2 linked regions of the Rhinolophus ferrumequinum genome follow. The protein of the gene in region 2 purifies or fractionates together with the protein of the main gene of each other region. This does not show direct contact. Links are inferred from orthologs where the notes say so. Each region holds a gene or a part of one and is shown on either strand. Other genes may lie near its edges. The genes, in order: CETN2 and FBXL13.

Region 1 (14,911 bases), on a different chromosome or scaffold from region 2:
ATTAAGCTAAGCACCTGACGTTTGTTAGCTCTTTTGACCTCACAGCACCCCTGTTTTCTAGATGAGAAAACTGAGGCTCAAGACAGTTAAGTCATGTCCCCCAAAACACGGCTGCTGAGTAGAAGAGTTGGGATTTGAACCAGGTATGAGTGAGTCTGAAGGCCAGGCTCCTTCCTTGGCAAGATAGTGCCATGAGGAAATTGTACCACAGATCACCTTGGGAAAAGACAGGACAGAGAAAGCAGCTAAGAGGACATCACAAATATCCAAATTTGATTTCAGATGGTGGGTTCAGAAATGAAAAAGGAAGGGGTGGATCAGAGTGACTACTGTAGGGAAAGCTGGATGACACCCTAGACGTCCAGGGCAAACAGGAGAAAGGAAATGGAAAGGATGAGCCTCTAAACTTAGCAACCAGAAAGAAAAAGGTGGTTAAGGGGAGGCTCAGGAGAGAAGACAGGGTCAGTGGGGAGGAAAACTAGAAAAGACGTAACTTGTTTTCCAGACACATCAAATTCTGGTAGTGATGTTTTTTGAAATGGGCCCAGAATCCCTGTGAGAATTTTAGACACTGATTGCTTTTAGACACAGACTGATTGCTTTTGCTGCAATGGAAGATGCACACTATTCCAGCAACTTCAAGAATATAGGACGTTGAGCTGAGCATGTCATGAGACATGGAGTGGAAGAGGTTGCCACTTGCTGTGAGACACTTATCACAATGGCCCTGGGGGGCTCCAAAAGGGGTAGTTCCTGGACTGTGGGAGAACTTGAACTTGGTGAGGGAGTGCCACTGGAGAGCAAGCAGTTCTAGTCAAACAGAAGACGGACTAAGTGTGTAGTGGGATGACCAGTGGCTGTTTTCTATGGAGCTGTGACTTGTAATCACTAACTAGTAAAGAGTTGTTTGGAGTGTATTATTCCCTTTGAGTGTGCTGCCCCAAGTCCTAGCATTTGAAAATTTGACAAAAACAAGAATTTAAAATCTGATTGACAGTGAAAGGACCTCAATAGCGCCCCCTAGGACAGTCAATGTGCATTCCCGCCCTTCAATATCCAGTCAATAGTCTGGTCCAGCAGTTCTTCCATGTCTAAAAGGGGACAAGAATTGAGCTACTTCCGTTCTTTAAACAGCTTCCTTAGAATTGACTTATTTCAAGCCTGATTATCGCTACCAATGAATCCAGCTGTTCCTAGTAGTTGAAACACTTTGGAGCAAAGAAAAGACTAATCCACCAGAGAGTTCTTTCAAGGACTTCCCTGAGTTACTGGGGAGGACCACAGGCCCAACAGCAACTGCCTTCTTCTCCCTCCGCATCCCTCCCACCTTCTCTCCCCTAAAGCTGCATTCCCTCCATCTCCCGGCATCTCTGCGCATCCTCATAGGAACTGAAGATGCCAGCTCCCTCTCCATCTCCACCCCTTCATCCCCTACAACTCTGTGCACCAGCTTTATAGAAAGGCACTTCCACTCCCTCTCCATCTACATCCCTGCCACCTCCCTATGACTCTCTCTGGTCCATCTTACATCAACTAACTTCGGCTCCCTCTTTTTCCCAATACCCAACCCAACACGGAATCTGCCCCCCCTCTCTCCACCCCTCTCACACCTCTGTCTTTCTCTGCCCCACCTGCAGGAACTGACCTCTGCTCCCATCCCCATGGATTCCACCTTCATATCTCTGGCCAAGTCCCACATGCAAGTACCTCTCCTCCCCCTTTCTCTCCCCGCCCCCCCAACTCCCACGGAGCTCTCTGGTTCATCCTTACATAAACTGATGTCGGTGCTCTGTGTCAGATCCCACACCCACTCCCCACTCCTCTCTGGTCCAGCCCGATATGCACTGACCTCTGTGCCCTTTCCCTCCCCATTATCCCTGATCCCCCTACACTCTCTGCTGGGGCTGAACATGGAGTAACACCTGCTCCGTCCTGCTCCCCATCACCCCCCAGCCCCTACAGCTCTGGTTCATCTGCACATGAACTAACCTTTGCCCCCTTTTCCTCCCCCTCCTTCTAATCACTTTCCTGCCCACGTGAACTGACCTTAGTCCCTCTACTTCTCAGTCCCACCTCAGTCCCCAATATCTTGCTGGTCCATCCCTAATTGAACTGATCTCTGCTACCTGCCCCCCACCCCACTCTACTCCCCCGACATCTCTCTGGCACAACCACAGGGCTGTCCCGTTCCCTCTCCCTGCCCATTCCCCTCCACCTCTGTAGACCATCCTGAGCTAACCTACCCTTCCTTTCCCTCCCTCCCCAACCACGCCCCCTACATCTCCCTGACCTAGCCCCACAGGAACTAACGTGTTCTACTTCTCTGTCCTCCCATCTCCCCTACATCTCTTGGTCCAGCCCCACGTGAGCTTCCCTCTCTCCCCATCACCCTTTGCTCACTCTCCCACCCTCTGCATCATGTGCACCTGCACTGACCTCTCCTACCATTCCGTCCCCATCCCTCCTATCCCCTCCATCGTTCTGGTCCAGCCCCACAGGAACTGACCACTCAGCCCAACCTGACACCAAGATTCTGAGACACCATCCAGCAAGGACACTGAGCAGAGTTTGGCTGAATTCAACCTACTGTCATCATAACCTTGCTTTCCTTGATCTGTCCAAGCATAAATTACCAATAACTCTTTTTTGGTCTTATACTTTGCCAAAACTATTTTTAGGGCATCCTTTAGGCTTACGTGAAATGAAATTCTACTAGTTTTACACACCAACGGGTTCCCAAGGCAAGAACCAATTCATGCCAATAGCAAAGGGTTATTTCCTTTTCTGCCCACAGGCTGAAAAGGAGTTGGGAGTAAGGAGTTTGGGACTTACCAGACTGCCTTCAACACAATGGTTTAGAAGAGCTACTCATAGTCAAGTTTAAAGAACTCATCCTTGGAGAACAAAAACTCAAAATAAGAAAGGCTTTATTTTTAAGACAAAACAAATAGCACACACACACACACACACACACACACACACACACTTCCAAATGCAAGTGAGAGAGTTCACTGGAGTTTTGTAAAAGAGAAAGCGGCACTCAGGTGTCAGTTAAAACCGGAACCATTGAAAAGATGCTGGCTGCCTGGTGACACAGGTAAAACACGTGCTTGTCTCAGAAGTCCTTCTGTGGTGGCATAAACATGGGAATGTGTGACAAGAGTGAACAGATACAAGGCAGAACGGCGGGTGGGCAAAAGTATTAAGACCCTTTTCTCCACTGTAATGTGCTCGCGCTCTGCTTTGGGGAATTAAAGCGACCAGCAGGCCACCTCACAAAGAACTTCACTGTCAAAGAACACTTTCCAAAATCGAAAAGAGATTTGAGGTTGTTACTAAGGTTACACAGGGAGGTCGGTGGGGAAAGAAAACAATTTTTATTCTCGAAAACCAGGTTTCACACAATGGCAGGCACGAAATCTAGTTATGTGTGCTTGCAATAGAAAAGGAGAGAACAATCTTAATAAAGGCTGGTCTTTTTCATGATGCGCAGAAACTCTTGTTCATTGACTTCTCCGTCTCCATCTCGATCCGCTTCGTCAATCATTTCCTGCGTGACAATAAGGACTCAGGTCAGATCAATTCAAAATGAAACGAAAACATGACTAAGCAACAGGCTCTTATCATGCTACATGAATAGACAACTGTAGTCCATCCCATGCAAATGTGCTGCTTTTGGTAATAGCGTGGTTCCTGAAAGTGATCTGAAGTCCAAGTCATAGTTTGTCACGCATATCACCTAGAACGGAGCCCAAAGGTCATCTTCACTAGGGGGATTCCTAAAACCTAAACTTATAAGTAAAACTGTCCATGTGTGCATTTCTCTGGGAGCAGGGTCCATAAGGAGTGTCACACCATCAGAAGAGAAATTAAATGGTCAGCACAAAGACAAGAAAACACTAGTTCTCCTTCAAGGTGGCACTCACATCCAAGAGAGTATAACTCAGAAAAGTCACCCAGGGCTCCGAGAAGGGATTCTGCATTCCAGTCAGACACACTACAAACCTGCAGCTCCTCGTCAGTGAGGTTCTCGCCCAACTCCTTGGCTACACGTTTTAGATTTTTGAAGGATATCGTCCCAGTTTCATCATCATCGAAGAGCTTGAAAGCTTTCAGGATTTCTTCTTTGGTATCTTTCTCAGACTTAACAAGTAGAACATAAAACATATGAGTAGGGAAACACCGCAGTGACTAGTCCTGTAGCCCCACAGCGCCTAGCCTCTCTGCCTTGCCCCTACATCATTACGTGGTCATGGTGGTGGTCTTTATGACAGAGGTCCTAGGTCACAGGAGATCAAACATCATTCTTTCTGTACAAACCAAAGAGAAACTGGATTCGTTTTTAAAATACAGAAGAAGGTGGAGTTCACATCGGGGAGAATATACTCCTTAAGCTGATGGAAGAGGGATCCTCTTGGTGGAGGGGTCAAGAAGCAAAGAGAAGGCTGTTTTACTTGTGATGAGATCATATAGCGTTACTGGGATCCCAAGTCCTCCAACAGAGGAAGAGAGGAAAATCGCTAAAAGCTCAAACTCCCAATATTCCTGAAAGGTAGCTAAAGATAGAGAGAACCCCTAATAAGAGCAATTCGGGAACACCCTTGAATGTGGGACAGCTTTACTAGGTAGTGACAGAATGTTAAGCTTTCTGATCTCTTAAGTTAGTCCATGAAGAAAAATATAGGTATAATTAGATGATTTCAAAGCAACAGAGTTATTAGAGTAGGAACCGATCTGTGCCCTGTGAAACACACCTGAGACACTGATGGAGTTACTACTCAGTATCTGTCTCGACAGACCAGTGGAGCACAGGTGAGCCACACTGAGGAAGAGCCAGGAGGCCAAAGAAAGAGCAATGGCCCAATGGAAACATACTTCCTGGGTGGGATGACAGGGCAGTGAGGTGGGCTGCTGGGGTGACATCTTATAGTCTGTCTTGACCCTTTGGACCCTTTAAAAGAGGGACACCGGAGACACTAGAGAATGGGTAAACTTAACCTTGGAAGTGCTGAAAGATCAAATCCCCAGCGCAGCCTAAAAGCATGGTTGCTGAAGTTACACATCCTCAAGCTAAGGCTGCCCAGAATAACAAATGGGAAAGAAAAGAATTTCAAACTTTAAAATATAGGAACTTTGTCTTATCAAAATGCGAGACACTGTAATGCTGTTGGCGTGTATAGGTTTTACTGCTTGTGGTTATCACATTGACAATTCAGTTGGGGAAAGACAATAGCAAAAATGTGACAGCAGTATACGTTCACTACTTTACAGAGGGTAAAATTACTTTTCCTGTGATTTTGTGGCCCTCAAGAAAGCCAAGCAGAACCAAAAACATCTTAATTCTCAGTCACAAATACTATCTTTTATCAGCTGAACTCTCTAGTTTGTATTAACTTTCCTTCAATGAAGACATTTTCATATCGAGATTCAAATTTGTCCATTATGGGTGGGAAATATGCTGATTTTCTTAGCTAACTTACCATTTTCTGAGTCATCACAGTCAGAAACTTACTAAAGTTCATTTTTCCTGTCCCTTCCTTATCAATTTCACTTATCATTTTCTTGATCTCCTCTTTCTTGGGTTCGAAGCCCAGGGCCCTCATTGCCACCTACAATGAAAAGAGGATCATCTCAATATGCTCATCGAAACCGAGCAGGAGCAAAAATGAATGTTGAGAGCATTAAGCCAGCACCTGACACAATCACATGAAAATAATTGGGAAACACTGGAGCATTAAGCAAATTGATATTTGCACTCATTTTACTTAATAACACTTGGGGTAAGTAAAGACAGGAAAACAGAGCACAGCACATTCTCCCCTTGTTACTTTTTGCAGGGAGAAGAGGGCAGAAGGGGTAGAGCAGTGACAGGGAAAAAAGCCAAAGAGGCAGAGGAAAGGCAAGGCAGCGAGTAGGATTGCACAGGGCTTGCCTTAAGTTCCTTAATATCTATAGTCCCAGTTCCGTCAGCATCGAAGAGATCAAAAGCTTCCCGGATTTCCTGTGTCTGCTCTTCAGTAAGCTCTGGCTTAGGACTCATCCTTTTTCGCTGGGTAGTTGATGCCATGTTTGCCTTCTTAAAGTTCGAGGCCTTTAGACATTTTACAAACACATAAGCACCATATTATGTACCACAGTCCATATTTTGCATAAAATCGTTAGAGACAACCATATCTGTTTTAAAAATAGTTTATACCAACCAATCCTGAAGCTTTGCTTAACTGGAGAGATAGTAGGGTTTACTGGGCAAAACAAAGAATCTTTCCATGTAGCTCTATCCCTTTCCTCTTCTTTATATTGTTTCTAGAAACAAGGACATCCCTTATTGAAATCATCCGTAAAGAGAGCTAGCTAGCCAAGGAGCGGAGTATGAATAACTGGACAGATAATAAACTCTCCCTGAATTTGGGGATCCTAATTCTAGAAATGTCCTTACAATGCCCACTCGCGGTACTCCGCTTCCCTCTAAGTATTCTGACTTTGTGACTACTTCTAGATTTAGCCAAATATTACTAAGTTATTAAGATGCATATTCTGTCAATATCGAATAATAAAATTCAATCCACTTGGCTCATCTGTGCTTTCCCCAAAAAGCTCAATGCGTCTCCCAAATGGCCCGATACTTAAAATTTAAAATGCAAGTTAACAATCCAACGTCGTAAACCTCCCCCCCCCCCGCCCCCGGCATTGTGCGGAAACTTTGGTCGCACAAGGCGGCCAGGAGACCACGGTCTGAGAGGGGTCAGACCCTGCGGGGAACCTGAGTCTTCTTCACCCAGGAACCGGTAACCGAGGGGGCAGGGAAGGCCAGGGGAGCCCGAAGGGCGGGTGGGGGCCGGCTGTGGGTGCAGGGGAGGCAGTGGCGAATCACAGGCCCAGCAGGGTGGCTGGCATCTCTTCCCAGCCCTTCCGGGAAACACATCATAGAAGCAGGGGCGCACCAAAGCCGAGAACGGTGCAGGAGAGGTGGCGGGGTCAGAAGGGCTCGGCCTCTGGGCAAGGGGCGCGACAGGGCAGCTGGCACTCACCATCGCCGACAGACTGCTCCGCCCGTTGTTACGGCAACAGACGTACACACAGCCTGGGCGCAATTCCCACCGACCCGCGCGCACTGACCCGCTCGCTGCCGCCGCTCACCATTGGCGCAGGGCTGGAGGGGGTGGGAGTACACCGACAAAGGCCCGGATCAGGGCGGGGAGCGCGCTCAGGCAGCCGAGCCCTGGCCTCATTGGGCTGGATCGCGCCGCGAGAGTTGATTGGCTGAGCCAACGCCAAGCCGAGCCAGTCGGGGTAGTGGAGGACCGTCGGGCGATCATCAGCTCAGGCGGGCGGGGAGAAAAGGGCGGCGAGCTGCGGGAGCTTGGCGGGTGCTGGCTGCGGGCGCGCTGAGGCCGGTCAGTGGGACATCTAGGGACAGGTAAGTGTCGCCTCCGAGCCCCTGGAGGCCGCCTTATGTAGGCAACTGGGCGGGAGGGCAAGGGGCTGGGTGGGGCGATCCGGGTCGGGGCTTTCTGCTCTGGCCTAAGACTGAGTTAGAGTCAGAGGGACTCAGAGGAGTCAGAGAAGATCATAACTTTACAGGTCACCTATGGAGAGCGCGGCGGCCCGCGCGGGTCGGTGGGAACTGCTCTGAGTTGTGTGTGTACGTCGGCTGTAGCAACAATGGGCGGCGGAGTGTGTCCGCGGTGGTGAGCGCCGGCTACTCACAGAGCGACTGAGACCCAGAAAAAGGAAAGGGACATGGCAAGCATTGTGGCACAGGTCCGGACAGCTGAAACTTAGAAGCTGAATCCAGCTGTGGCTCTTTGAGGGTGTCCCTTTGAGAGCATCCGCCCCCCAGACCACGTTCCAAGAGAGGATCATTTGAGTTCTCCCCTAGCTAAAAGCAGCCCAGGAAGGTGAATAGACTTTGAAGGGAGTGAAGGAGATACGAGTGAGCATGAGGGGGAGAGGTCATCAAAATGCTCTGACATCCAGTCAAAGGCGGAAAAGGAAGGGCATTCCAGGCCGAGATACCTTCATGAGCAAAGTAGCAGAGGAGTTTTGGAAGTGTGAGGCATGCTTGGAGAATTACAAGGGGGCGTGTGCAAGGGTTTGGGCTGAAATGGAGCTGCGGCAGTGGAGCTGCAGGCCCAGGTCCGCCCCGCCTAAGAGCGCTCTGTGGCTCTCAGCATTTACCTGCTTCCCCTCTGGGCAGTGGGGCAGTATTTAGGCAGGCAGGGGACACAGCATAAGTTTCTCAGGCCAAGAAAGGCCTGAGGTTTATTAGCATTCCTTAAATGAAAATGTTCACCGATCTTCTGCCCTTTGCCCTCTTCCCCTTCGAGCACGAACCAGGTCCCAAACCTTTTGGTTATATTTGATCCTTTCTTTTTCTGTTCCCTCCCCCATTAACCAGCCTCCAAGTTCTATCAGTTCTCCCCCTTATCTGCCATTTATTTTCTTTTCCACCTCTGTTGCTCCACTCCCAACTAGTTCAAGCTCAAGTTCTCCCCTTGGTCTGCAAGGCCTGGTATGACATGCCCCCACGTCTCCCCTGGCTCCTCCAGCCCCGGGACATTGGCTTCCTTGCTGGGCCTCAAATGCACAGGCAGACTCCTATCTTAGAACTTCTGCGCCGGCTGTGCCTTTTCTGCCTGCTTGGTCCACCTCTTTCCCTGCACCAGGTCCTTGCTCAGTGAGCCATCCTAAGCAGCCTATTTAGCACTGCAGCCCCCAGCACACCCAAGGCCCCCACCCACCTTGCTCTGCTTTTTCCCCCATAGTGCTTATCACCTTCTAACCTATGGTATATTTTACTTATTTGCTATGTTCTTTATTGTCCATCCAGTAGAAGGTAAGCTCAGTAAGGGCAGACATCTTTGTTTTGTTCACTGCTAGCACTCCAGGACCAGCAACAGTGATGGGCACATATTAGGTGCTCAGTAAATCTCAATTGAAAGACTGGTGAGTAGTCCCCCCGTTTCCTGCTTCTCACCTGTCTAGTCTTCCCTGCTTTGCCAGGTTAATCTTCCCAGTGAACAGCTCTGGCCAGGTCACCCCATGCTTTTAAACCTTCGGTGGCTTCCCATGACTACAGAGTAAAGTCCAGACTCAGCCTGGCATCCGAGCCGCCTGCCCTGTTTTGCCCGTTAGTCCTTCTAACATCGTGTCCCTCCACACCCTACTTCCCAGTCAGACTGCAGGTGGCAGCATGGCAGAGGAGAAGGAACCACCACAAGTTCTACCTTGGCCTATAGGAGCTGTGTGACTTTGGGCAAGTTGGTTGACCTCTCTGAGACTCTATTGAATGAGACCACTACTGTCTCCCTAACTAGATACTTTTTGGATCTTAATGGTATAATATGGTCATATGTACAAGGGCCTGACAGCAGGTTTTCAGGCAATATCAGTTCTCTTCTCTGATTTGTTCTTGTCATTCCACCTACCTGGAGGCTGGAGGCTTAGCCATGGCTAAAATCCCTTCACACTGCAGCCAGAGGGATATTTCTGATCTCTTCACTCACGCTGCTTACAACTTCCAGGGGCTCCCCATCTCCTCCTTGGGTAACTCCTTAACCTGACAAACAGCCCTGCGTGTTCCCCAACTTTGCTCCCAATCTTGCTTCACACTTGCCATGACACAGCTTGTCGTAGTTGCCAGACATGCTGGCTCTGTGCTCTGTCACCTCATCCTTCCCACCCCGGGCCATGGAATGTTTTCCGGGCACCCACCCTCTCCGCTTAACTCACTCCTCTGGGGCCTTGAGAGCTCAGTTCAGGGATCGCCTTCTGGGACAGGCTCCCTGACCTGGGTTTATCCTCAGCAGAGCTCAGGGGCACTTCTACAGTGCTCTGCTAGGTGTGTCTCCCACGCTAGGTGGCGAGCTCCCTGTGTTAACGCAGGTTCTGCTTGGCGGTGTCCGGCTTGTGGTGCCCTGTGAATGATGGAATGTAGGAATGAGCGAGCTGATACCCTGAGGCTCTTTCACAAGCTGCATCTCCGCTCTAACCCGTGGGGCTTGTTTGGGCCCCACAGCAGCTCTGAGGACGGCAGGAGAGATTACTGCTCTACAGATGAAGCCTCTTAGACCAGCCGCAGCAGCACAGTTCAACCCAGATTCCATTCCCGATTCTTTGCTGGCACTCCAGACGCTCACAGCCTAGTGGGCCAAGACAGATATGGGGGGAAAAAAGTATAATCCTGTGCGATGTGCTAGAATGGGAGCAGACACAGGTGCTAAGGAAGTAGCTAAGCTTTCCTGGAGGGGGGAGGTTTTACGGAGGTGACAGTGGAGCTAGGCCTTGAAGGATGAGAAAGGTCTTACCACAGAGAGGGGAGGGAACAGTATACGCTAAAGCTCACAGTCATGCTGATGGGTTTCTCCGTGGCCACCACAAATTCAAAGTCACTTGTCATACAAGCGAATAGACAAGCAGAGAGACAAATGATAGACAGAAACCTGCACATACCTCAGGTCTGTGAAAGACAAGGAGGGAACACTCGTCTTTCTCTCTCTGGTTTGAAATGGACAGACTATCCCTTCCTTTTGTCTCCGGGACTCAGTAATGTGGAACTTTTCCCAGCAGGAAGGAGGAGATTGGGTTCACTCGCTCCTCTCTTCATCGAATTCTGTTAGCGGCCCTCCTCTTTTTGCCCAGAAGTTGAGCGAGGCATTCGGATTTCACCAGTGGAAGGTGGTTCTCTTTTCCTAGATTCCTTTCCGCCTAAGACTTTGTCCCAGTGTGTGTAAGAGGGCATGCATTACTGGTTTTTAATGGATTCCAAGACCTACCGTCTTAAAGGAGAAAGACTTCAGGCTTCTGATTTGTGAACCTTAACAAGCCCAGTCCTTAGAACATTGCTCTTTGGGGTCTTATTTTTCCATCCAGAGCTGTTCTTCTAAGTGTATGCGTGGTAAAATAGACAGAACTGAAAATTGGCCATTTTAGCCATTTTCAAGTGTATAGTTCAGTGGCATTAAGTTGATTCACAGTGTTGTGCGACCATCACCACTGTCCATCTCCGGAACTCTTTTCATCTTGTAGAACTGAAACTCTATAGCTACTAAGCAGTCACTCCCCGATTCCCCCCGCCACTGGCACCCACCATGCTGCTTTCTGTCTGTGAATTTGAGTACTCATTGTACAGTATTTGTTCTTTTGTGTCTGGCTTGTCCACTTAGCATAATCTTCCCAAGGTTCTCGTGTCCCATAGCGTCATGTCCTTAAGGTTCATCCGTGTTGTGGCGTGCATCAGAATTTGTCCTTTTTTGAACTTTTTATTGTATTGCATTGTATTGCATTTTGTTGTGGTGAGAACAATGAACATGAGACCTACCCTTTTAACAAATGTATCAGTGTACAAGACAGTCCTTCTGTCTGCAGGTACAATGTTGTGCGGCAGACCTCTAGAGCTTATTCATCTTGCATAACTGAAACTTTCCACCTATTGATTAGTAACTCCCCATTTCCCCTTTGCCCAAGCCCTGGTAACCAGCATTCTTTGACTCTATGACTTTAACTCTTTTAATATTAGGTAGGTGCAAAAGTAATTGCGGTTTAAAAGGTTAAAAATAATTGCAAAAATCACAATTACTTTTACACCAACCTAATATATAAGTTACAGATACATATATGTATATATATAGTACTTCATATAAGTAAAATCATACAGTAAATATCTTTCTGTGACTGGCTTTTTTCACTTAGCACAATGTCCTCAAAGTTCACCCATGTTGTCACATACTGTAGAATTTCCTTCTTGTTTATGGCTGAATAGGATGCCACTGCATGTATACACTACGTTTTCTCCATCCAATCATCTGTCCATGATATTGAGGTTGTTTCCATCTTAGCCATCGTGAACAATCTGCAGTGAGCTTAGGAGTCCTCAGACGTCTTCACGAAACTGGTTTCAATGCTGTTGGGTATATTCCCAGAAGTGGAATTGCTGGATCATATGGTAGTTCAATTTTTAATTTTTTGAGGAACCTCCACACTGTTTCCCATAGCGGCTGCACCATTTCACATTCCCACCGGCAGTATACAAAGGTTCCAGTTTCTCCACATCCTCATCAACACTTGTTATTTTCTGGTTTCTGATAATAGCCACCCCAGTGGGTGTGAGGTGGTATCTCACTGTGGTTTTGATTTTCATTTCTCTAATGATTAGTGATCGTGAGCATCTTTTCATGTGCTCACTGGCCATCTGTAAAGTCCATCTTTTCTGGAGAAAAGTCCATCTATTCATTCAGAGCTATTCTTGGTGTTTATTTTAACCTGAGTGTATATTACATGGGAATTTAGGTGTGGGGGGGGTTGCAAGTAGGATCTGACTCATTCCTCAGGCTAGTCCTGGGTACCCCAGCTCCTAGAAACAGCTAAAGTATCACCAAAATCCTTACCTGGCTCATAGTATTTACAAACTTTAATTTGTATATAATTTGAGACAACAGAGATGTGCTTTTGTTTGGGTTTTCACAAGAGGCTGGTTTGCTGAGAATTGCATGAGCCTTGTTTGAATGGTATGGATCCATGGGGGCAGGACGGATTTCTTCTTTCACCTCCCAGATCCGCCCCTAGAGATGGAGGGAGCACAGGCTTTGGGTGGGCTATGGAATTGGTAGCTGTGCTATTTGGATTTCGGGACTATGGAGAATACTTGTGTTGATCTCCTGGGGCTGCTGCAACAAATGACTACACACTGCGGGCTTAAAACAACAGACATTTCATGCTGAGATACCATGGTGAATAAGATGGAACTAACACGCTGCTAGGCCTTGGTGCAAGGGCCCAAACGCTGGTTCCCCAGCTGATACACGTTGAGACAAATGAGTCAAAGCTCCCCAGCCACATCTGTTTACGGTGCACGGGTAACAGGGCCCCCAGCCCACACAAAGAGGATTATGGGATAAAAAGAGGGATAGGATAGGCATAGAACGGCTGGTTAACTTATACATTCTGGAAAGGCCTATAAAAAGTGAAGTGTTTGAAATCTATTTTCCACGTAATTTTCGTTATGATTTCAGAAATATATTTTCCCAAAATGGCCCCATCAGAGACTGAGGATCCTAACATCTGTTTCAAGGTCATTTTAGCCACCCACAAAATCAGTTCCTACAGGGACACATGACCATGACCGTGTGTGTGTCACTCAAGGTGTGGAATCGGACGGGATTAGTCAGAGTGTTGGAGACCCCAGTGCTGGCTGCCTGCCTGCCCCCTCCTCACCGAAGAGTGTTCTGTGAATCTAGTGTTTTGTGAGCAGTTTGACTGTTTGCCTTGTCAAGGATTTCGCTGTCTCCAGATGTTAGGGGATCCATGATAAACTGTTCTCCTGTTGGGTGTCATTGTGGGGCTTTGTCAGTTGGTGGGCTTCACGAATGTCTCCCGAGGTTTACGATGGCCCCAGACACTCCGGGCTCTTCCATGCGTGGTCAGGATGGCTTTAATTTCACCAAGAAGGAGAGCTCCATCTTCTGTTACACTCTGTCCCTCCCAGTATCCCAGGCCCTGGTATCTTGGTATTGAGCACCTAGTTCATTTTATTGGTGGGAAAACTGAGCTGCAGCAAAGAGACATAACTTGAGCGGATTTACACAGTTTGTCATCCGGCCAGGACTGGACCCCAGGGCTCCCTAGGTCTGTGCATTTTCCCACTGCACTGCCGCAGTCTACTGATCAACACAAGAGAAAGCGAGAGCAACTGAAGCACGCGAGTGCCATGGGGAAAGCTACGATGCCAAGATGTTCTTTTTGTTGTAACTAATGACTGAGGTTATTTAACTGGCCTCCCATTGTGCCTCCAGTCCAAGTACACGGTGAGATATGGGCCCAATTTTGGCCTTTTCTAAGACAGCAGCCTGCGTCACACAAATGGTAGCTGAGGGCTCCATCCAAGGGCCACAGCTAAAGTTCAGCTCTGTGAAAACTCGACAGGGGGTTGGCATTCACAGCAAACACTAACAGCTAAAGCATGTTTTGCTTTTTACAACATGAATATCTATCTCTAAATATGTCTTTAAGAAGAGAAGGCTCGATCGCTACAGGACCATATTTGGAGCTGAAATGGAACAAGCAGTTGGCAAGCCAATGAGAGGCCAGGTCACAGCGACACATTTGACAGAAGACATTCCAAAAGTAAGTACCGACACAAAAAAGGTTAGCCAAAACCAGGTAAGGGGCAAATTGAGCACATACATACCAGGAAGCCACTGATAGTTAGCTGTGGGTTAAAACTATATGCGGTGAGTGCCATGGGAAAAGCTACGATGCTAAAGATGTTCTTTTATTATACTCGGTACATTTATTAAATCAATTAATGTTGAGTATTGTTTTTTTATATAAAATTTATGTCTCTACTTATTGCTGTGTAACAATGTCAGAACACAGTGGTTTAAAACAACACCCATTTCTTTGTTCAGCTGGGCCCAGCTGGGAGGTCCGTGGCTGGTCTCCCCTGGGCTCACTCTCACAGCTGCAGTCATGGGGACCCCCGCATGTGTATGTTCCAGGTGGCCTCACACACCCGGCAGTAACTGCCGCTGTCAGCTGGGTGCCTCAGTTTGCCTTCATATGGCCTAGACAGGCTAGATTGGGCTTCTGGGTGGAATGGTAGAAGCCTTCCTCAGGGGCCACAAGGGCAGTACCAAGGCCTCCTAAGGTCTAGCGTCTGGAATATTTAAAGGGACTTTAAGGGATTGTCAGGCCTCCTAGAGATTTTTCGATCCACTTTTAATGAATGCTAACACTTCAGAAATGTAATCATACCAAGGGAAATGATGCTAAAGGCACAGAGCCATCTCCAGATGTCCAGTGGACTCCAGTAAAAATGTCATCCCAGGTGGGACAGCAGGGTGGCAGGGGTGGACCTGTAGAAGGCTTTGGTACCCCTTCAGTCTCCTGCATATCTCAATTGTGTAGGCATTTA
Region 2 (15,078 bases):
GCTATAACAGAATTCCATAGACTGGGTGATTAAAAACACAGAAATTCATTTCTCACAGTTCTGGAAGTGGAGAAGTTCAAGATCAAAGTGCAAGAAGACTCTGTGTCTGGTGAGAGTCATTTCCTGGTTCACAGATGGCCATCTTCTCACAGCGCCCTCCAGTGTAAGGGCACTAATCCCGTTCATGAGGGCTCCAGTATGGCAGCTACTAATTACATGTGGCTACTGAGCACTTCAAAAGTGGCTAGTCCAAATTGAGATGTGCTCTAAGTGTAAGATGCACACCTAATTTTGAAGACTTAATGTGATTTTATGAGGTGTGATCAAAAAATACAGTGGTTTAAATTTTTTTAAAATGTATTACAGTAAAAGACACATTGCCACTAATCCCCCTCAAAATACTCCCCTTTGCTTCCAACACACTTATGCCATCATTCTTGCCACTTTCCGAAGCAGTGCTGGAAGTCCTCTTTCATGAGTGTCTTTAGTTGTGCTGTCATGGCTGCCTCAATGTCCTGAATCCATTCAAAATGTTTCCCATTCATGGTCATTTTGACTTTGAGGAAAAACCAGAAGTCGCATGGTGTCAGATCCAGTGAATAAGGTGGATGAGGACACACCGTAATGTTTTCATTTGTCAGAAATTGCTGTACCAGAAGCGATGTATGACACGGAGTCTTTCCCTGTTGTGATCACAAAATAAGGTGAACACTTCTGCCGAGTGCCACCCAACAGAAAGGCAGGGATGTTGGGAAGTGGCGCGTGAACCTTAGTAACAGTGTGTGACAAGTTTCAAGTTGTTCAGTGCAGTCAGTCAGGTGTGAGCTATGGTTGAGAGAAGGTGTGTTTTAAAGTGTGCTGTAAGTCATCCTCCATCATGACAATACTCAGTGTCACACATAGCTTCTGGTATACGGCAATTTCTGTCAAATAAAAACATTATGGTGTGTCCTCATCCATCTTCACTGGATCTGGCACCATGCAACTTCTGGCTCTTCCCCAAACTCAGAATGATTCAGGACATCAAGGCAGCCACAACAGTGCAACTAAAGACACTCACAAAAAAGGACTTTCTGAACTGCTTCAGAAAGTGGCAAGAATGATGAGATAAGTGTGTTCAAAGTGAGGGGGAGTATTTTGAGGGAGATTAATGGCAATATGTCTTTCACTATAAAATTTTTTTTTAATTTAAACATTCACCACATTGTTTGATCACACCTCGTGTACTGAGTTCATGTTGAAATGATTCTATTTTTGATAATTGGTTTGAATAAAATATATTATTAAAATGAATTTCACCTATTTCTTTTTACTTCTTTAATATATTTGTAGGACACCAATGAATAAATGCACAGAGAACTCGGGAGAAACGTTTGGACTGGAGATATCTTTGGAGTCACAGCTGCTGAGATGTTTTCCTCTAGCAGATGGTGGATGACCAGCAAGTATTTGCTGATGGAATGGTCTAATGTACCCTCCTTATTTGACCGTTCTTTCCATACCCCAAGAAAAAAAGGCTGGCTGGTGCCAAAAAATTGAACCTATAATCCAGCCCTCTTTAAGCTGGGTGTGCAAACCGCTAGGAATCCACAAGGGCTTTCCAACCGATGTGTGAATATGAATAGTATAAAGGAATCCATTTCCAGGTCCTCACCTTCCCTATTATTCTATCCTAAAATTGATTTGCCTGAGGATACATTTTGTGATTTTCTTTTCCTGTTTTTCCCTTTCACAATCTCTTTCTCTCACTCTAGAAAATAAAGGCCTGGCTCTCATCCAGTTGGAATCTTACTACAAGAAACAGAGAGATTTAGAAACTTGCTCAACATCACACAATTAATAATTGGCAAGCAAAGACTCAAACCCGGGCAATCTCACAATAAAATAATCCCATTGTATTGCTTCAGATGCTTTAGGTTTCAAGTAATAAACCTCAACTCCACATGGAATTTATTGGCTGCTACAACTAAAACTTCCAAAGGTAGATCAAGCTTTCAGGTGGGTTTAACCCAGTCACTTACTTATATCACTAGAGACGTGATTTCTTTCCATTTCCCCATTCTGCCTTTCTCAGAATCCACTTCAACCTAAAACCATCTCTCCTTGTGGACACAAGATAACTGCCAGTGGCTCCCAGGGGTACATGCTTCCCCAGGAACATCCAGAGATGATATATCTCATCCCAACATTCCAACGAGCAACCTGATCTAAACTGGCTTAGAGCTTATCTTGCCTTCCCCCACAATCCTCACCACCACCCACCATGTCCACAAACACTGTGGCCTGGGAAATTGAATGCACTGGTTGTCATAAGCTAACCAGGGTCCAACCTCAGAGATACCGATAGTCGATTTTCCTGGAGCACATGGGATGTGAGGAGAAGAGGTCGGTTATGGAATAAAAGTATAAGAAATACTCAGAAGAGGAAAGGGGGGAAGTAGATATTGTGTAAGGAACTTGTTAATGTCCGGTATGCATCTGCTCCTGGGGAACATAGAAAAGGAAAAGTTAAGAAGAGTTAATTACAGTAGGGTTAAGAGTCACTTACTGGGTGATACTGTTGTGATCCGCACCTTATCTCTTCATATAATGCCCGGAGATACAAGGTGATCCCAGATTCCCAGTGTATGAACAAGCCAGGTGTGACTGATTGTATTTTCCAAAATGGCCATGACAATTTCTCCCATCCCACAGGCGCCTTTTGCAATGTGACTTTGATATACCTCTTATCAAGAAGTGGGGTCTACACTGTGCTGTACACCTGAAGCTTTAACTGAATAATAACGAATGTCAACTATAATTAAATATATATAGTCACGGGATGTGGAGTACAGCATAGGGAATAGAGTCAATGGAATTGAAATAGCTATATATGATGTCAGAGGGGTAGTAGATTGGGGGAGAGGGGTTATCACTTTGTGAGAGGTGTAAATGTCTATTACATTGTTTTGTATACCTCAAACGAAGCTAAAAGATAAAGAAGGAGGAGGAGGAGGAGGAGGAGGCGGAGGAGAAGAAGAAGAAGTGGGGTCTATGTTCCCTCCTCTTGAATCTAGGTGAAAACAATGTTATGTAGACTTCTGAGCCTAGGTCATAAATGGTGATGTAACTTCTACTTAGTTCTCTCTGGGGACACTTGCCCTTAGAGCTGAGCCACCCTACTGTTAGGAGGTCCCAGCAGCCCACAGAGAGGCCCACATGGAGGCACCAAGCCTCCTGGTTCACAGGCCTAGCTGAGCTCTCAGCCAACAGTCAGCACCAACTTGCCAAGCATGTGAGTGAACCATCTCAAACGGGGATCTTTAACCCCGTTGATCCATCCCAGATGGTACCATACGGAGCAGAGACAAGCTATCCTTGAAAGACCTTGCCAGAATTTCAGATTTTTGAGCAAACTAAATGATTCCTGTTGTTTTAAGCCAGTAAGTTTTGCTGTTGTGTTGCACAGCCATGAATAATTGATACAACAAGCAAACAGAGAACGACTATACAGCCAAATAAAGCCTGTCATTCCACCCATCCCAAACTATATTCATTTTTTTAATGAGGGGGGAAAAAACCAAAACACCCAGCTATGCCTGTCTTTTACTTTAACTTATTATGGAAAACTTCAAGCATACATAAAATAAACAATAGTATAATGAACCCCTATACACCCATCACCTAGTTTCAACAATTATCACCAATCTGTGATTCTTATATTAACTATATATTGACCCATTTCCCACCTGTTCTCAACTGTAATTTTTTAGGTAAAATTTACAAAAATTCAAATGCACAAATCTTAGCTATATAATTCTATCACCCATATCCCCGTCATTTTCCAACTCCTCAGAAAGTTTGCTTGTTTCCCTTTCCAGTTAAGCCTTCCATATCAGTCAGGAGGCAGAAATCACACCAGTAATTTTAATAAAGAACACTTATTCTATTCTAGTGATTAAATTCTAGTAAAGAATTTAATTCAAAATAATCGTGTTAACAGACAATAATTTTAAAAGAACAAGAATTAACATGTTAAAGAAAACAGGAAATGATAGACAAAATGGATAAAAAGAATTCAGAATTTTAATTGGAATGTATAAAAAAATCAAATGGACATTCTAGAACTGAAAAATACACTGTCTGAAATTAAGAACTCATCTGATGTATTTAACAGTAGACTGGACAAAGTATAAAACAGAATCAATAAACTTGAAGACAATCAATAAAAAATACCCAAACTTGAGCACAGAGTGAAAAAAAAACAGGACAGAACAAAAAGGGCATATAGGACAAAGTTTTAAAAAAAGCTAATGTATTTATGATTGGAGTCCCAGAAGAAGAAAGAGAAACTGGGTAGAAGCAATATTTGAAAATGACTGAGGATTTTCTAAAACTGATGGAAAATATCAATCAACAGACTAGGTAAGCCCAGTGAATAGAGCAAGATTTTTTTTAAATCAGCCTCTATTTAGGAGGTTTGCAGGGAAATGACATTCTAAGTAGACAATCAGCTTTTATTTAGGACAGGTAGGTAAAGTTCAAAAGAGGTTAACTGTACAGGAAAATCTGTGATGAAAGATTATGTATTTCAAAACTTGCAGAAGATGGGTTTTAGAAGAGTGTGAGGCCTGGCAAATTGGGTCAGTTGAACAGATGTACGGGGGTATGAGGCACAGTGGGATTCTTCCTGATAGTCTCTTAGGGGAAGCGAGTAACCAGGTGAAGGTGAGTGTGTAAGGACTGCTCTCTTGCACTGGCTGGCAATGTAGGTGAAGAGTTCCTCAAGAGCTTATTATCTTAGGCAATGGGGAGTACTTCTGAGGGCCTCTTTTCTCTAGGGGCAGAGCAATACAGGCTGTGAGGCTGGTGAGGAAGTGCTCGCCTTCAGAAGAAGAACCAGGGATGCCCCTGGCAGCTTTGTAGTGTCATAGCAAGTGGAGAGCAAAGTGAGAAGAAGCTATCACTTCCCTGGTGTTCCCTGACCCTCAACCCAAGTCCACTTCTGCGACCTGCTCCATGGCCAACCTGGACTGAGTCGTTATTCAGAATGCTCTATCCTGAATCTTAAACACAAAAACATTCCACTTTTTGACCCCTACCGCCTACTTTTCCAGTTCCCTCACTCAATTACTCCCTCGTCCCCTTCACTCACCCCTTAGGAATGTCCACTGTCTACCCATATATCAGGACCATGTCTTGTTCTCATTTCCCACGCGGTCCTTAGAATCCTTGGCCTAACACGTCAGGCACTCTCAAAAGCGTAGCTCCCTCACCATTGCCTTCCATTCTATACGCCTGGAAAACTATCTTGGATGAAGTCAACTCTTATTTCTGTACCTACATGTGGTTTATTACTCAGTGCTACTTGAGAAAATCACAAATTGGGAAGATGAGTACCATGCTCTCTACATATTATCAAATATATAGAGGTAAAACATAAGTGAAACTCATCACAAAATATTAAAACAATACAGATGTATACAGAGTAAAAAATTAGGGTTCTCCTCTAAAACCTTCCCCAAAACATTTGCTGTTAATAGTTTGGCATATGCTCTATGCATGTATTTTCTTAAATATAGATAGTTATACGTACATACACATACATATACATATCAACACACACATATATATACATGCATATACATACATATGTGAAATCAGATAGGTAGCCAGATTGTAGTAGATACTTTGTTGGGCAACTTGCCTTTTTATCTTTTTCTTTTTTTAACTGAATGTGTCTTAAAGAGCTTTTCTTCTCAAAAGGTACAGATATACTTAATTCTACATAATATCTCATTCTCTTATTCACATTTAGGTTGTTTACCATTCTCACTATGGAACAGTTATAATGAATATCCTTCGGAGCACATATGCAAGTATATCTCCAAAGTGGATCCCTAGAAGTGGAAATGCTCGGTCACAGGGTAGATGTATTTAACATTTTAATAAATACTTCAACATTACCGTCCCAAAAGGAGGCGAGCTGTACCAAATTGGCCTCCCAACTGCAGAGGAGAGTTGCTACCCCAGGGAGGCTCTCCTTTGTCCTTCCCTAAAATTCTCTCTCCCTCATTCTCCACATAACTTCTCTCTACTCAAAACCCCTCTGCACACCCCATCCCCACCCAAACATACACATTCTTGGCAAATATCTCACCAAATATTTGTAGAGAAAATAGAAGTCACCAGAGGAGACCTTTCTTGGCTTCCTACCCCCAAACCTACAAAATCTGTCCACCCCTATCTTGTCCTCCTTCCTCCTGTTATAATTAAGGGGGGAAGGGGCAGTCCTTCCCCGTTTAAGGCAATACTAGTCAGGGAGTCTTTCCCTTCACAAAGGGCTGGCTGGCTACCTTCCCTCTAAAGGTCTCAGCTTCCTCTCTCTCCTCAGCCAACCTCAACCTGTCTTCTGCTTTCCTTGTTCCATTGGAACCCCAGGCTCACCTTGGGCCAATCCATTACATCCCATCAGGTCCTTATCTTAGGTGACACTGTCGCCCACTCTCTTCATAAAGCCACACTCTCCTGATTTCCCTCTCCTCTCTCTCTCTCTCTCTCTAGGGCACTCCTTTCCACTCCTCTAGTCCTCAGGTTCCTCTTCCCAGGCTCTTTTGGTCCAAACCTTAAAGCTGGAGTTTAGGGTTTCTTCTCCAGGGCCATGTGCTCTTTCTGCCTGGAAGATGTCACCACCACCCCACCCCACCCCTTTCAGCCACCGCCACCCTCTGTTTTCTCCTCTCGGACCTCTATCTTCAGCCCAGACTGCCTACTTGTCCCAGGCTGACATCATATTGTCTTACTCCGCTCGTCCTTCCCTCCACTCCCTCCCTCCCCGCCAAACCTTAGCCCCTCCTCTGGGAAATCCCTTCCGATTCCTCCGTCTCCTAGGTCTGCCGCCAAGTGGCTCCAGTACCTCGCAGACCTGAGGAATGTAGTTCTCCCTGAAGTAGTTTCTCAGCTTGGCGCTGGCACTGCGTAGCGAGGCCATGGCAAGAGGCCCCACTTTAACTGCGCTGCGGGCCTGCTCTCCACTCCTGGCTCAGCCAGAGCGCCGCGGGGACTCCCGGCTGGCGCGTCCCGGCGTTGCCCCAGCAACCCCGGGGCGGGGCGGAAGGGGCGGGAGGGGCGGGCCTGCTGAGGAGCCGAGCGCCCGCACGCCGGGGCGGCGTGAAGGATGGCGGCCCTACGGCCCCGGCGGAATGGGCTTGGAAGTGCGGGGAAGCCCGCCTCCGGGCCGTTCAGTCCCGGTGTGGCCCCTCGGGGCGCGCGGTGTGTGTGTAGCTCCCTTCTACAAGCCCCTCGCCCCACCGGGGGGGAGCTGCCCAGACGCGTCGGGGCCAGAGTGGGCGGTTTTACAATTTCAGCAGGGCCGTTTCCGGGAGGCGGAGCTCAGACTCCCATTTCCTTTCTCCTGGGGCTGGCGGGCTCCATCCAGCTCGGGCGGCGGCTGTTCCCGCTGGCCTCGGAGACCCCTGCACGGGCCCACACGAGCCTCCTGCTCCAGGCCCCACGCTGCGCACAGGCTCCAGCGGCAGCATGGGCGGCGCCCGGCACGCGGGCTGGGTGGCGGCGGGCCTGGTCCTCGGGGCCGGTGCCTGCTACTGCATTTACAGGCTGATGCGGGGCCAGCGGCGAGGCGGCCACGGGCTTCGGCTGCGTCCATCGCAATCTGCAGGTGAGGCCACGGGGTGCCCGGCAGGTGAGGGGGGACAGGAGTGGGGGTTGGAGACGCCGCAGGCGCTCGTGGCTTGCCTGTGCTCTGAGTGAAAGAAGGAGCTGAGCCCGCGGAGGAAGGGAGGTCCAGGTATAGTGGGCAGATTGTCCACTTGATTGGGTGGGTGTAGGATTCTGAGCCGCTTCCCTGCTTCCAGTTCTTTGTTCAAAATCCTGGCATAAGACTATTGGTCAGACTTTCCTACCTGAGTCCGGCGTCACAGCTGAGGATTAGGTTTCGCAAAAGCGGATGATTGCCTCTCACGTTAAAGCTTGCTCCCGGCCTTTGTGTTACCAGAGGGATTCCCCGGCTGTGGACGGGGTGTTGCGAGGCCTGGAGCAGTAGATGAAATGCTATGTGCAGTTACCCTGGAAGAAAGGACGCCAAAGGGGCAGTTCTGCCTGGACTCAGCCCAGCCTCTGAGAGGGGAGGATACCTTCAAGTCACCACGGTGCATATATATACAAAATTGCAGAGAGATACTGGAGATAGATGTAGATAATAGCTATTTCAAAATGGAACAGTTGTCTGCATAGGGAACACCTCCTGGCGGACAAGTAAGTACAGGATTAGGTTTCTGTCCAGAAGTTGATTGGTGCATTCAGGATTCAAACAATTTGTTGAATGTTCTGGATGGATATTTCAGGTCATGGAAGCTGTTAGGGAAATAAAAATAAAACCTCCTGCCAACAAAGAAGCTCCTCTCTACAGATGTACAAAAGAACTAAGTAGCTTTATTATGGACTAAGCATTAAACCTGGTTGCTACACCCATCACCGGCAGTCTGCTAAACGGGATTGCAAAGACAGAAAGGGTTCTCACCCCTTTAGGTACCCAGACAGATGTAACCTATTTCATATTACCTACATGTTCTCGAGATAAACAGTTTGTCCTTAAGAGAACTTGACAGCAGCATTTGCTACACATAGTTCATCTGGTAGTTGGGGTGTCTGTTTATGTTAGCTAATTGCCTTTATCCAGAGGGAAAATAAGACTTCTCAGTATCTCTATGATAAACAGGTGTTTATAACATGGAGCCAGGTGCCAAGTCTAAATTCAGAGACAAGGAAATAGCTGCTTCTTCCTTGATATTTCAAACAAATGATCCCAAAGCCCCTAAGAAAGACTTTCTTGGATTGCAAACTGCCAAGAGGCTTACTTAAGTTTTACAAAGATGTATGTTTATATCAAAGAGATAGACAAAGGAATTACAATTACAAGTTTCCTCGAGGAAATGCTCTAAGGGAGTGGGGGGGAGGGTCTTTCCCTTTCGCACAAGGGAAAAATCCTTTTTTTTTTTTTTTTAAAGATTTGCATTTACCCTCACTTACAAAGCCTAATTTGTTGTCTTTATGTCAGAGATGTTTCTGTATAAGTAAGTGGTCAGATGGCCTGGACTCAGGTACCTTCTCAGTTATACTGACGACGACTGACAAAAATCTTACTTTTAATTTTACCAGTTTCTCATATCACCAAAATATCTTAGGTATTCAGGCAGCCTACAATGAATGAAGTTGCTCACAGTCCCTTCTTCTTGAAGCTACACCTTCATTTTTGAAAAAGATTGATAAATACCCATTTTGTCAGCATCATTCTTGGATTTCAGAGGATGATCTTTCTTTTAATTGAGATGTAATTGACATAATATAACATTCTTTAGTTTTAGGTAAACAACATAATGTATGCATATATTGCAAAATGGTCACCACAAAAGTTTAATTGACATCCATTACCACACAGTTATAGTTTTTTTCTTGTGCCTAGAATTTTTAAGACATACTCTCTTAGCAACTTTCAACTATATAATACAATATTGTTAACTGTAATCAGACCAAGCTGCACATTATATCCTCAAGACTTATAACTGGAAGCTTGTACCTTTTGACCACATTCACCCTTTTTATATGCATGGAGCCATAACAACACCACCACCACCAATCAAATCTATTCTCTGTATCGAAGTTTGGTTTTTTTGTTTGTTTTTAGATTCTACGAATAAGTGAAATCATACAGTATTTGTCTTGCTCTGTCTAGCTTATTTCACTTAGCATTATTCCCTCAAGGTCCATCCATGTTATGTCACATATAGCAGGATATCCTTTTTTATGACTGATATATATATATATATATATATATAAAACTTGATACATTCATCCAACAATGGACATAGATTGTTTCCTTATCTTGGCTATTGTAAATAATGAGCACGGGAGTGCAGATATCTTTTCGAGATAGTGATTTTGTTTTCCTCAGATAACACCCAGAAGTAGAATTGCTGGATCATATGTTCCATTTTTAATTTTGTGAGGAATCTTCATAGTTTTCCAGAAGCGCCTGCACCAATTTACATTCCACCAATGGTGCATAAGATCGCCCTTTTTTCTGCATCTCACCAACACTCATTATCTCATGTCTTGTTGATGATAGATATTCTGACAAGTGTGAGGTGATAATAGCTCATTGTGGTTTTGATTTGCATTTCCCTGATGCTTGCTGATATTCAGCACTGTTTCATGTACCTGTTGGCCACCTTAATGTCTTTGGGAAAATGTCTGTTCAGATCCTCTGCCCACTTTTTAATCAGATTGTTTGGCTTTTTGCTATTGAGTTGCATGGATTTTTTCTGTATTTTGAATATTAACCCCTTATCAGATACATGATTTTCAAATATTTTCTCAAATTTTTTAGGTTGATATAGTTCCACTTATTTTTGCTTTTGTTGTGTCAAATCCAAAATATCATGCCAAGACCTATGTAAGGAGCTTATCACCTATATTTCTGCTAGGAGTTATATGCCTTCAGGTCTTATGTTCAAGACTTTAATCCATTATGAGTTTATTTTTGTTTATGGTGTAAGATAGTGGTCCAGTTTTGTTCTTTTGCCTGTGGCTAATTTTCCCAGCACCATTTATTGAAGAGACTGTCCTTTCCCCATTGTATATTCTTGGCTCCTTTTTGTAAATTAATTGACCATATGTGTATAGGTTTATTTCTGGGCTCTCAATTCTGTTCCATTAATCTATTGTCTCTGTTTTATGCCAATACCGTACTGTTTTGATTTCTATAGCTTTGTAGTTTACTTTGAAATCAGGAAGTGTGATGTCTCCAGCTTTGTTCTTCTTTGTCAAGATTGATTTGGCAGTTGGGGTCTTTTGTGGTTCCATACAAATTTTAGGATAGTTTGTTCTATTTCTATGAAAAAGTGCCATTGAAATTTTGATAGGGATTACATTGAATCTGTAGATTGCTTTGGTGATGTGGATATTTTAATAATATTAATTCTTCCAATTTATGAGCACAGAATATCTTTCCATTTACTAGTGTCATCTTCATTTTCTTGTATCAGTGTCTTATAGTTTGCACTGTACAAGTCTTTCACCTCCTTGATTACATTTATTACCAGGTTTTCTTTTTGATGCATTTGTCAGTAGGATTGTTTTCTCAATTTCTCTTTCTGATAATTTGTTATTAATGTATAGAAATTCAGTTGGTTTTTTATATTGATTTTGTATCCTAACAGTTTTTTAGGTGAAGTCGTTAGGATTTTCTGTATAGAATATCATGTTATCTGCAACATTTTTTCTGATCTAGATGCTTTTTTTTTCTTGCCTAATTGCCCTGGCTAGGACTTCCAGTACTATATTGAATGAAAATAGCAAGAGTGGGTATCTTTGTCTTGTTCATGAACTTAGAAGAAAAACTTTTGGTTTTTCACCATTGAGTATGATACATAGGCTTGTCATACCTGGACTTGATTACATTGAGTCACATTCCCTTTTTACTCACTTTCTTGAGACTTTTTAACATGAATGGATGTCGAATACTGTCAACTACTTTTTTGGCATCTAGTGAGATGATGAAATGATTTTTGTCTTTCATTTGTTACTGTGGTGTATCACATTGATTGATTTGAGGATGTTGAACCACCTTTGCATCTCAGGGATAAATCCCACTTGATCATGGTGTATGATCCTTTCAATGTATTGTTTGCTATATTTTGTTGAGATTTTTGCATTTATGGTCATCAAGGATATTAGCCTATAATTTTCTTCTCTTATGGCTCCCTTGTCTAATTTTGGTATCAGGGTAATGCTGGCTTTGTAAATGAGTTTAGAAGAGTCTGTTTCATTTATTTCTGCTCTAGTCTTTATTTCCTTCCTTGTAATCATTTGGGCTCCCATTGTATGTTAAATTGAAGCCAGCTCCTCAGGCCACAGCTATTTAGATGAGCAAGTAGACCTCTTTCAGGGAAAAACTGGTTTCAGGGAACTGCCTCTGCTGGGCCCTGGGGTGTTAGCCGTAGTGAGTCTGCTGGAGCCATTAATAACTGTCCCTTAATTCGCTGTATAGCCGTGGGGGTCTTGTGGACGCACACCTCTTTGGCTTTCAAAGTTAGAATTTTTCGGGGCCCATTTCTCAGGTGGTAGTCTTAAAAATTGGGGCACAGGATGTAGGATCCAAATCCTTCGCTCCTGTGGGAGAAACTGTGAGTTGTGAATTTCTTCCCAATCGTGGATCACTGCAGCAAGGGTGAGTTTATGGTGAGATTGTGTCTCAGCCTCTTCACCTATTTCAGTGTGGTTTTTTCTCATTTGCCCGATGCATACCATGTTTCCCCAAACATAAGACCGGGTTTTATATTAATTTTTGGTCCATCAGGGCTTATTTTCAGGGGATGTCTTATTTTTCATGTACAACGATCTGCATTTATTCAAACAGTCATGTCATCTTCTTCTGGAACATCGTCATAACATACTGAATGCGTCCGTCTGGCTGAGATCTTAACTGGTGCTTATTTTCAGGAAAACCCCGTAGGAGTTACTCAGTTTCTGGGTTTATTTCAGAGGGAGTCGCCCCTATGTAGCTGTAGATTCGATGTGTCTGTGGGAGAAGGTGAGTTCACTATCTTCCTACATCACCACCTTGAACCAGAACTGGGTGATCGTTTCTTTGCCTTAAAGTGTAAGAAATTTGTAATTCCTATACTGTTAAGACTGAGAGCATTAAAAAAATATGGAAACAGTTGCAATTCATCCACCAATCTAATAGCAAAACCTGACAAGGATAGCATAAAAAGACTATAAATCTATCTCAATTACAAATAAAGATATAAAAATCTTAAATAAAATATTAGCAAATCAAATCCATCATGGGATTCAAGTAATAATATACCAAGGCCAGATGGACATGTAAGGAGAATTTATGTTGGGAAATATATTAATGTAATTTTTTGCATTATTAGATTAAAAGCTAAAACACGATGACTTCATAATAAAACAACATTTGAATGTTATCATGTCTGATAAAAACTTGCAGCAAGTTAGGAATAAATAAAAGGAAATGTTTTTAAGTTGATGAAGAGCATCCATCAAAAACCAAACAGCAAACATTATATTTAATGGTGAAACACTAATAGCATCTTTACTAAATTCAAGAACAAGAGAAGGGTGCCTGCTGAGACAGCTACTCTTCACCATTATCCTGAAGTCATAGCTAGCTTGATAACACAAGAAAAAAAATGCATAAATATTGGAAAGGAGACAAAATTATAATAAGTAGATGACATAATGATTTATTTGGAAAAATCCAAGAGAATCAACTGAATAACTTTTAGAAGCAACAAGAGTTTAATAAATAACTCGAATGCAAGATAAATATACCCAAATCAGTAGCTTTTTGTATGGAAGGAATAACAAATGCATAAATTTAACTGAAAAGATCTCATTCGTGATAGCTATAAAAACTTGAATACATCTAGCAAGAAGCCTATACGAACATAATTTTAATGAAGAACATGAATGAGGCTACATAAACAGGAAAGCATATTGTGTTCCTGGTTGGAATGATTCTGTACTATGACAATTATCTTGAAATTTGTCTTGCTATAATGTTATTCTTTGGTAGTCACTTTTCATTTCCTTTGAGAAGTGGAATTTCTCCTCTGTTTACTTGAGATGGTGAACCACAGAGCTTAAAATTCTTTCAGAGTCTTATTGGTACAAAGCTAAGTGGAGAACTCGGACACTCGTGTTTGCCTCACTTGTATAATAGTTCAAAATTTTACCAATGGAAAAGGTAGGTATCAGGTGATCACCATCCTCTAAAGTGTTGAAGAGTTTTAGGTTTATTTCTTATCTGAAAAAGTAACGTGGTTTTTATTAAAAATTCAAGCAGAGAAGTTCAGATTTATTTACAAAATTTAAATGAGGATCATCACTTTAATAGATTAACAGGGGTCTCGTAGGAGGAAGAGTAACAGACTGGGAATGAAAAGATCTGGATTCTAGAGCCAGTTTTGTTATTAACCAGCTGTGTGTCCTCTTAATAAAAAAAATAATGAAAATATTCCAGGCCTTCACAGTATTCTAGGCATTAAAATCCTTTGAGCAGACACTATTAACTCCCATTTAATAGATGAAGGAACAGGCTTAGAGAGGTTAAATCTCAGCTTGGGTTAAGTAGCTTATCTAGAATCAGAACTACCTAGACAGTCTGGCACCTTAGCCTTGGCTTTCAACAAACACGTTGCACTTCCTCCCTTCAAGTGAAAATTCTATGATTAAACACTTTTCCTTAGAAAATTTTATTGGACTATTTATAAATAATTTACATATCTATAAAAATGTTAGAGGGTTTTGTGGGAAAATGTATTAGGAAGTAATCAAATTTTGAAATGTTTTAGAAGTATGAATGAGTTAAATTTAATCATATTTCTGCCATATGTTTGTGTAGAAAATCACACACCTTCAAAGTTGTATAGGAACCTTTGGAACAGTTATTGTCTTAGACCAACCCTTTTATTTTACAAATGAGAAACCTGAGACCCAAAAAGAGGTTAAGTGACTTGCCTCCAGTTTTGTATTTTCATTTCTGTGGTCTCTGCTACCAATTCCTGTGTGACTTTAGGCAGATCTTTAAATGAACCTGGCTTCAGTTCCCTGGTGTGTAAAATGAGAGGTTTGGATGAACCGCAACATTCTTTCTATTCTAAAAATCTGTGCTTCGTTATTCTTTGGCTTATCTTTTCAGGTATTCTTTAGGTGAAACCCTGTTTTATAAGATGTAAATGAGGCAGGTAGTGGATTCAGGAGTAAAAGCAGAGCCCAGAGATCCTGATTATAAGACTTGGGAGTGAGAATCTGCTGGCTCTTTAGATTTTAGATTTTCCTGACGGTTGATTTCTTATTTGACTTCTTCAGCACATCATACCACTTATCAGTTCCCATAATCTATCCTTATCCCACAGATATTTTGTGATTCTTCTTTAAGCAATATTCATAATTATTTTAATTATAGCAATAATACATGTTTATTGTTTGAAACTTGCAGAAAGTACTCATTAACACAGGGTAGAAAATAAAAGTTGTTTATTATGCCAGCAC

Evidence for each region.
Region 1: the proteins of FBXL13 (region 2) and CETN2 purify together in Homo sapiens (affinity purification with mass spectrometry; 3 studies listed by BioGRID and IntAct, counting the BioPlex papers as one, with this or other methods). This does not show direct contact. The link is inferred for Rhinolophus ferrumequinum from reciprocal best matches to the Homo sapiens genes FBXL13 and CETN2.

Annotation. Positions count from the first base shown.
Region 1 is NC_046284.1:7,305,119-7,320,029, reverse strand, and holds CETN2 (centrin-2), read right to left. Parts: upstream 7,169-14,911; 5' UTR 7,032-7,168; coding exon 7,029-7,031; intron 6,299-7,028; exon of another isoform or gene 6,201-6,298; intron 6,092-6,200; coding exon 5,933-6,091; intron 5,610-5,932; coding exon 5,481-5,609; intron 4,144-5,480; coding exon 4,006-4,143; intron 3,551-4,005; coding exon 3,461-3,550; 3' UTR 3,362-3,460; downstream 1-3,361. Other genes in the region: NSDHL (sterol-4-alpha-carboxylate 3-dehydrogenase, decarboxylating), read left to right, coding at 14,050-14,121. UniProt on the Homo sapiens protein: Plays a fundamental role in microtubule organizing center structure and function. Required for centriole duplication and correct spindle formation. Has a role in regulating cytokinesis and genome stability via cooperation with CALM1 and CCP110.
Region 2 is NC_046303.1:46,929,956-46,945,033, forward strand, and holds the start of FBXL13 (dynein regulatory complex subunit 6), read right to left. Parts: upstream 7,262-15,078; 5' UTR 6,971-7,261; coding exon 6,896-6,970; intron 1-6,895. Other genes in the region: ARMC10 (armadillo repeat-containing protein 10), read left to right, coding at 7,519-7,657. UniProt on the Homo sapiens protein: Substrate-recognition component of the SCF (SKP1-CUL1-F-box protein)-type E3 ubiquitin ligase complex.